Linked DNA regions of Sus scrofa. The protein of the gene in region 1 purifies or fractionates together with the protein of each later gene. This does not show direct contact. Links are inferred from orthologs where the notes say so. Each region holds a gene or a part of one and is shown on either strand. Other genes may lie near its edges. The genes, in order: GNB1 and PFDN5.

Region 1 (4,160 bases):
AGCTGGCAGTGCCAAAACTTGCAAGGAACGGGATGGTTCCAGAGGCAAGTGGGGGAAGAGGCTGAAGCCAGGCGAGCCCACTGTTCAGGCTGTGAGTCCTGGCAGGAGCACCCAGGAGACCCCTGCAGACGTGCTGACCCCGCCGGCCCTCCCCTGCGGACAGAGCCAGGAGGACCCTCGCTTCCCCCACTCCCTGGGGTCACGAAGAGGGGGCACAGGGCCCTCGTCACACACACTGAAGTTTCTGTTTCTCACGCGTGCTGGCAGATGCTCTTCCTCTTACAAGGCTGTACAGTTCTTCTCTGGAGACCAAGACGTGGCCCTGGCACAGGGTGGGATGCCTGTCCCTGGAGGAACGGCCACAGCGTCTCAGGGCGGAAGAGGAAGGACACACCACCAGTGGGGGCGCAGGCTCAGGGAGGGGAAGGTAGGTGGGACACGGGGGAGACTCCACTGCCCTGGGCACGGCCAGGGAGGCGGGATGAGAGGAGGGCTGGCCGAGGCACTGCCGCGCGATTGGACGGGGCCACCGGGGGAGGGCGACAACCTCCAGGAACTGAAGCGGCCCCACAAACGAGCAGCCACAGCAAAGTCCCTCATGTCAAACTGCTTTATTACATCTTAAATAACAGTACAGTTGGATATAGGATCTATCTCGCATCCAGCTTCCTGGCAGTACACGGACTTAAAAATTAAATACAAAAGGAGAAGGGCAGGGTGCAGAGAGCTCTACGGAGGAGGCGCCGACAGGGGAGGGGCGCGTCCCACCCGCTGCAGGCCCAGGCCAACCGCGCCAGCAGTTTGCACAGGATGTTGCAAACACAGGATGGAGAAGCTGCTGCTGCTGCTGCGGGAGCGCTTGGGTGCAGGGGGAGGCCGGCCGCTGTCCAGACGCTGCTGCTCAATCCTGGGCCCGACCCCAAACCAGGGAGGTCCGCTTGTTAGAAAGGGTTGGCCTCAGATGCCAGAGGCTGGTTCCCAGGGAGGGCCAGGCCGTGCAGAACTCACAGCGTGAGGCTGAGGTCTCGATCCCCGCACTCCCCGCCCCAATCCGACAGCAATCGCTTGGAACAGGACTTGATTTTTAAAGAAAGAAAGAAAACAGTGACTTATCCCGCTGCTTGAGCGTGTGGAACCGCTAACTGCGCGGCTTCCGATGCGATGCGTGTGCACAGAGGAGCAGCGCTAAGTGGACAGAGCTGCAACGGTTACAATTTTCAAGAGGTTATTTCTTAAAAGAAAAGGAACATCTAAGGACTGAGTCCTGTATGCACTTTTGAGCATTTCTACAGCATGCGATTCTAAGAGTAAACCCACCCAATATGGCAAACAATCAACTTTTTTAAAATTTAACTTAGAAAGTTTGAGATCATTATTTTCAAAACATTAATTTGTACACTGCTTCATACACAGATAACGGACCGACTATCCAAGCACAGACGGGCACCTCTCTGGCAAACAGACTCCTGACGGCTGCGGTGGGACTCGGGGTCATGATGCGCTCCTGTTCGATGCCCCCACTGTCGCCAGGAGACCCCAGGTGAGACTAAAAGCTGAGCTAGAGGGCAGAGAGGGCCGGGCCGGCCGGGCGGGACGAAGAGGTGCCTGACGGGCGTCCGCAGAGCGTGAGAGCCTCGGCTTCTCAGCATCCTCCTCCTCCTCCTCCTCCTCGGCCGTGTTCGTGCGCAATCATCACGTGACACTAGACGCCAAGTAAAAAATCTAGGGACTAAATGTACATCGTTAACAATGGCAGAGAGGCTGCGCTAGACCCTCTTTCTCTGTTTAACTACGGAACAGAAAGGAATATATGTTAAGAAAGAAATGCGAAGGTTTGCAAAATCCTGTTACAAACACCATCTGCAGTTCAGAGTCCATTACAAGATGCGGCCCCAGCCGGTTCTGCCTAAACATCACAAAACAGGGTCACTCATCTTGACTCCAAAGAAATGAGTGAAAAGGTGTGTCTGTCTCACAATTACACTCAAGTTTACCTTCTGGTTAATGTTTTTATTATTGTATTTCCTTTTCAATTCATTCAGGACAAAAAAAAACACAAAGGAACAGGAAGAAACAAGAACAGTGGTCCCGCAGGAATGCACACGATTTGCTTAGTTTACAGCACGGAGGCTCTGCTCTCAGTGGGAATTGTGCTCTTGGTTTCGGCAATAGTGAAGGGAGAAGATCTTGCCCTTTGGAAGTCCGGAGGGGGTGCAGGGCGTCCGCGTTAGTGGGTGGGTGGGAAATGCTATCACCGTGACGCTCCCAGGCTGGAAGGGCCTCCCAGTCCCCGCGGCGTCCACCTGCTGCTTTAAACAGAGTTAGAGATGTGAAAAGAAACAGACCCCCACGTGCAGCTCCGTCCTCACCACGGCTCCGAATGCTGCCCTCACCCCGCATCGGATTCCAAAACCCCCGCATCAGAGCTCATCGAGGAACCCTGAACCCCGACTGCACCGGCTCACGAGAAACACAGAGCCGCATGCAGAGGGCGCCTGGCCGCGCGGTACCTGCTGGCGTTAGTTCCAGATCTTAAGGAAGCTGTCCCAGGATCCCGTCGCCACGGCCATCCCATCGTCCGTCACCCCCAGGCAGCTGACGCGGTTGTCATGCCCAGCCAAGACACCTGAGAGCAAACCCTAGCAGTCGCCCGAGGGCCCGGGGTGGCAGCCCCAGAGCCCCCGGGGCCAGTCTGCAGTGCGCAGTGGCCGGGCAAGGACATGAGGACGGAGAAAGCCTGGTGAGGCGGGTGGGGAGGGACGGGGTGCCTCCTGCAACTCCCGCCAAGGCCAGCGAGGCCGCTGTGCTCCTCTCGCACGGGGGCGGGGGGGGGAACGGGGGGGGGGGACGGGGGGACGGGGACGCGCCCAGGGCCGGGGAAGCCCTCAGACAGAAGGGAGACAGGGCAGAGCGGCTGGGAGTGTGTGTGTGACCACACGACTGAAAGGCACAGACAGTCCCAGAGCCCAGGGCCTCCTGCGCGGACTCCTGAGCACTCACAGCAGTCAACAGCTTCAATAAAAACAGCAGAAGCACAAGAGAAAAAATCCACACCACCCCATCTCGGGGGAGCATCAGGCCAGAGTGATGCCCGCGGCAACCCCAACGTGAGACGGGTCCGCAGTTGCGCGCGGCAGCCTGGTGGGTAATCACCTGGGCAGGGGGAATCTGAGGCCTGGAACCTCAGGGGGCCCTGCCCACCTTGCACGCTCACCAGTGTTGGTGCAGGGGCTGGGGGACCGGTGGGGGCTCGACACAGAGGGGCAGCCACAGGCGGGAGCCCCGCTCTGGCCCTCCACCCTTGCAAGCACTGCCGGCTAAGAGCCGCCGTTCAACTTCTGGCCCCAGGGTCCCTCCTCAGCCCTGGGACCACCTTCCGCACAACCTGCCCCCGAATACACGCGTCAACGGCCCCCCGCCTGCCTCTACTGGGCTCTGCTTTGGCGGGCACGGCGGGGGATGCCTGCCTGGATTCGTGCCCCAACACGAACGACGGGAAGGAGGGAGCAAGGCTGGCCCTGCCACCACCCCTCTGCTGGCCACGTGTCAGGAGATCCTGTGCCTCTGGGAGACCCCGCCTGAGTGCCCCGGAGGCCGGGGAGGCCCCGGCAGCCACCTACCTGCCCTGTCGGCCTTGAGGGCGTCCCAGACGTTGCAGTTGAAGTCGTCGTACCCAGCGAGGAGGAGGCGCCCGCTCTTGGAGAAGGAGACGGAGGTGATCCCGCAGATGATGTTGTCGTGGGAGTAGGTCATGAGCTCCTGATCCGCGCGGAGGTCGAACAGCCTGCAGGTGGCGTCGTCCGAGCCAGTGGCAAAGGCGTTGCCGTTGGGAAAGAACTGCGGAGAACGCACACACGGAAAGTGGGCATGCGCACGCCAGGCGAGCCTGGAGGCAGGGCTGGGTCCCGCGGGCAGGCAGGCCCAGGGCAGGGACCTGCACAGAGCGGTGGGCAGGTGTGCCTTCCTCCCCAAGCCCACCGTCCACCACCCCTCGTTTTCTCCGAGGGCACAGGAAGACTGCACTTGTCCCCGAGGCCGGGCCTCCGCGGGCACCACAGGCTGGCTGGCTGACCTCAGGAAGGAAGGCCGACCACCAGGCCCCTCGGTCAGGGGCCAGGAGGGAGGCTCCTTTGACGGCGACGCCCCAACCGCCACCACAC
Region 2 (4,469 bases), on another chromosome or scaffold:
CCCCAGGAACTTCATATGCCACAGGTGCAGCCAAAGAAAAAAGAGGAGTTCCCCTTGTGTCTTGGTAATGAACCTAACTACTAGTATCCATAAGGACACAGGGTGGATCCCTGGCCTTGCTCAGTGGGTTAAGGATCAGTGTTGCTGTTGAGTCGCAATGTAGCTTGCAGGTGTGGCTCAGCTGTGGCTACAGCTTTTCCATTATGCTGCAAGTGCGGACCTAAAAAAAAAGACAAAAAAAAAAAGAGCGAGAGAGAGTCTTGGCCAGGTACTCTGATGTCTATCCTGTGTTCCTGCCCTCCAGAATCTGGGGAGTGACACTAGCTGTAATGCCTCAGTTGTCCTGTCCCCTTTCTAACTGGATGCTAGAGGCTGCTGTTCTCCCCACATACAACTGTTAAAGCTGTCAGTGCTATACACTTTAGCAGTATTCCTCACTTCTAGCACATGGTAACACTATTGAGTAACAAACCTGTTGCTGTGTTTGTTGGTTGATGAGGTACCTCCTTTGTGTTCTCTCCACCCACTCATCTCCACTCCATCTCTAGTCCCGCTTCATCTGCCCAAAGCCTCCTTTTACGACCAGAGAACTTAACAAGCTTCTTCCTTCCTTGCCAGTTGTCACTAGGGTTTATATCACCCACATGGTTTACTTTTTTTTTTTTTTGGTCTTTTTGGGGGCGCACCCGCAGCATTTGGAGGTTCCCAGGCTAAGGGTCAAATTGGAGCTGTAGCTGCGGACCACAGCCACAGTAACGTGGGATCCCAGCCGCGTCTGAGACCTACACCACAGCTCACAGGCAATGCTGGATCTTTAACCCGCTGAGCGAGACCAGGGAGCGAACCAGCGTCCTCATAGATGCTAGCCAGACTCGTTTCTGCTGAGCCACGACGGGAACTCTTTTTAAGATTCTTAAATTCAGGAGTTCCCGTCGTGGCGCAGTGGTTAACGAATCCGACTAGGAACCGTGAGGTTGCGGGTTCGGTCCCTGCCCTTGCTCAGTGGGTTAACGATCCGGCGTTGCCGTGAGCTGTGGTGTAGGTTGCAGACGCGGCTCGGATCCCGCGTTGCTGTGGCTCTGGCGTAGGCCGGTGGCTACAGCTCCGATTCAACCCCTAGCCTGGGAACCTCCATGTGCCGCGGGGAGCGGCCCAAGAAATAGCAACAACAACAACAATAACAACAACAACAACAACAAAAAGACAAAAAAAAAAAAGATTCTTAAATTCACAGGAATCCTGTTTGCTGCAACTTGTCGACGCTAGGCTTGGGATGTTTTGTGTAATGAAAGCGCTCCTGGGAGTTCCTATCGTGGCTCAGCGATAAGGAACCGGACTAGTATCCATGAGGTTGCGGGCTCGATCCCAGTCCTTATTTAAGTGGGTTAAGAATCGGCCGTTGCAGTGAGCTGTGGTGTAGGTCGCAGACACAGCTCGGATCCCGCGCTGCTGTGGCTTAAGCCGGTAGCTGCAGTTCCAGTTCGACCCCCAGCTTACGAACCTCCATATGCCTCCAGTTCGGTCTTTAAAAAAGAAAGCGCCGCTGTCTCTTCCACTCCAACGCAAGTAAATCACAGAGAAGACCCAGCTCTTCCTCCGCTCCCGGACGGAAGACCATAGAGATGTCGGGGGCAGCGAGGCCTCCCGGCGTAGCCATCGAGAGGCGCAGAGGACGGCTAGAGCGTTGCTCACCCGGCGGCTTCCGCTTCGTTAGTCCTCCTTCCCAACATGGCGCAGTCGGTTAACATTACCGAGCTGAATCTGCCGCAGCTGGAAATGCTCAAGAACCAGCTGGACCAGGTGGGAATAGGCCCCCAAAGACACCCCTTTCCACCTCACTTCCTTCCCGCCACGCGTACTCCCTCGCTCCCCATTCTTCCCCAGCCGAGGGAGGAGGTTTCCCTTCCCAGGCAAAACCCCGACTCGGTCCCAGCACCCGCCCCTTCCCGGCGGTGCCCTCCTCTCCCACCAGCCCCCGTACTAACCCTCATTCCTCTTCTCTCTAGGAAGTGGAGTTCTTGTCCACGTCCATTGCCCAGCTCAAGGTGGTACAGACCAAGTATGTGGAAGCCAAGGACTGTCTGAACGTGCTGAACAAGAGCAACGAGGGTATGCGGTAGGCGCGTGAAGGCAAGCTGGGGGTTGGGGCGAGCCGGCTTTTCCTCTCTCTTCCTTATCCAGTTGTCCTTATCTGAGACGAGAGAACGGTCCTTTACGTATTGCATACTGCTGCAGGAGCCCTTTGCATGTTGCCTTGGTAGACTTGAAATGTACAGGACATTCTTCTCCTGTTGCCCCTATTTCCATACTTATCGCACAGTCTCTGGGCGCTGTGCGGTGCTGAAACTCCCTTGAACGTGTAAAGGCTGGAGAAGTCCACCTTCCCTACATGTCTGTCTTAATTGCTTTCACAGGGAAAGAATTACTCGTCCCACTGACGAGTTCTGTATCCTTTCTGCAGGAACTGTTTCCCCGCCCACTCCTTTTCTCCTTCACCCCCTACCCTGCAAAAAAGGGCAGAGGTTCTAATTGCTCCAGAGATTCTGAGAATACTCAGTACACACTTCGTAGCTCTGCTATCTCATTGGAGCCAACATCCAGCTAATGTTTGGTGAGCACCAAGGTGTATGTAGAATTGAGGTGTGATTTTTTTCCTTCGCTGTTTGAGGATATAATCTAATAGGGAGATAAAACTGGTGGTTTACACTTTTGACTTGTTTTTTGGGTTCTTTTGCCTCACCCGCAGCATGTGGAAGTTCCGGGGCCAGGGATTGAATCTGAGCCACCTCAGAGACAACACTGGGTCTTTAACCTGCTGCACCGCAGCAGGAGCTCCCTACCCTTTTTACTAATAACTTAGAAAACAGAAGCAGTGGAAGAAGAGAGGATATAGAGACAAGGGGGTTGGCTCTGTTTATTAATCTTCAATTTTAGTTTAATTGTGGATCTTATTTCTAATCCGTTGTTACTGAGAAGCCTGGATTGTGTCTATCTGTTGAGTGTTTTACTTGAATGAGCCAATTGTGTTAACAGGGCACCTATAAACTGCACCTGAGAATTGATAGGCTGAAAAAGAAACACAGGAATAGCCGCATAGTAGGGACTGCTTAGATAAGGAACATTAAATCTATTGGGAATGACCTACTTCATGGTTGGGAGTGTTAAAGGAGAAATGAGGCTGGCTTTTCACTTTTACTATTTAACAGCATCAGGAAAAATCATTCCAGGAGTTCCCATTGTGGCGCAGCAGAAACAATCCACTACTAACCCTGGCCTCCCTCGCTGGGTTGGGGATCTGGTGTTGCCGTGAGCTGTGGTGTAGGCTGGCAGCTGCAGCTCCGAATCAACCCCTAGCCTAGGATCTTCCATATGCTGCAGGTGTGGCCCTAAAAAGAAAAAAGAAACACTGCATCTAGTCTTTATGGAGTTCCCATCATGACTCAGTGGTTGATGAATCCGACTAGGAACCATGAGGTTGCGGATTTGATCCCTGGCCTTGCTCAGTGGGTTAAGGATTCGGCGTGGCCGTGAGCTGTGGTGTAGGTTGCAGACCCGGCTCGGATCCCGCGTTGCTGTGGCTCTGGCATAGGCCGGTGGCTACAGCTCCGATTTGACCCCTAGCCTGGGAACCTCCATATGCCGCGGGTGCAGCCCTAAAAAAGACAATAAAAAAAGCCATCTAGTCTTTCTGGAAGGGCTAATGGGAAGAACTCTAAGAACTTCTTGGAGGGTGGCAGTGAGATCAGGGCAAGATCAGCATGTGTAATTTTCTCCATAAGGAACCAACTTCCCTGTGTCTCCCCTTTGGAGTGTGTAGGCCTCCAGATTATCTGATCCCGGTACCTTTTAAGTTTTTAGAAAAAGGGGTTCTTAGGAGGTCAAGCAGATGAGCCGACAGGAAATCAGGACTCATGCTGGGCTAGTTTTCCCTTAATCCTCGCTTCTCAGATGTACGTCCCTGGGAAGTTGCATGATGTGGAACATGTGCTCATCGATGTGGGAACTGGCTACTATGTAGAGAAGGTGAGTGGAAGGAAGCGTATGGATGCCCCGCTGAGGAGGCAGAGGGAGTTTAGGGAGAGATCCAGAGTGCACAAAGAGGTCTCCTCTTAGCCCCTCCTTCACCTCTGACCTTCCAGACAGCTGAAGATGCCAAGGACTTCTTCAAGAGGAAGATAGACTTCCTCACCAAGCAAATGGAGAAAATCCAGCCAGCTCTGCAGGAGAAGCATGCCATGAAACAGGGTAAGCTTGGCCTTGGGCACCTCTTCACCATTTCTACCTCCATAATAATCAAGAACATGAATTGCAGCGTGAACCATGGCGGGTGTCCCCTTTGTTGGATTAAAACCATGGTTTTCTCTTTGGTGTCTTGATGTATTATTCTTTAGATGCTGTGCATCACATATCCGCTATTTCTAGATTCCTGGGTTCAGTGCTTGAGAAATTTAGAGAAAGGAAATCCCATC

Evidence for each region.
Region 2: the proteins of GNB1 (region 1) and PFDN5 purify together in Homo sapiens (co-immunoprecipitation; 3 studies listed by BioGRID and IntAct, with this or other methods). This does not show direct contact. The link is inferred for Sus scrofa from reciprocal best matches to the Homo sapiens genes GNB1 and PFDN5.

The regions. Positions count from the first base shown.
Region 1 is NC_010448.4:63,866,563-63,870,722, forward strand, and holds the end of GNB1 (guanine nucleotide-binding protein G(I)/G(S)/G(T) subunit beta-1), read right to left. Parts: intron 3,838-4,160; coding exon 3,621-3,837; intron 2,627-3,620; coding exon 2,520-2,626; 3' UTR 2,511-2,519; intron 2,310-2,510; exon of another isoform or gene 2,307-2,309; 3' UTR 626-2,306; downstream 1-625. Other genes in the region: uncharacterized protein LOC110261347, read left to right, coding at 268-625. UniProt on the Homo sapiens protein: Guanine nucleotide-binding proteins (G proteins) are involved as a modulator or transducer in various transmembrane signaling systems.
Region 2 is NC_010447.5:18,510,991-18,515,459, forward strand, and holds the start of PFDN5 (prefoldin subunit 5), read left to right. Parts: upstream 1-1,646; 5' UTR 1,647-1,728; coding exon 1,729-1,800; intron 1,801-2,006; coding exon 2,007-2,109; intron 2,110-2,414; coding exon 2,415-2,446; intron 2,447-3,948; coding exon 3,949-4,023; intron 4,024-4,139; coding exon 4,140-4,245; intron 4,246-4,469. UniProt on the Homo sapiens protein: Binds specifically to cytosolic chaperonin (c-CPN) and transfers target proteins to it. Binds to nascent polypeptide chain and promotes folding in an environment in which there are many competing pathways for nonnative proteins.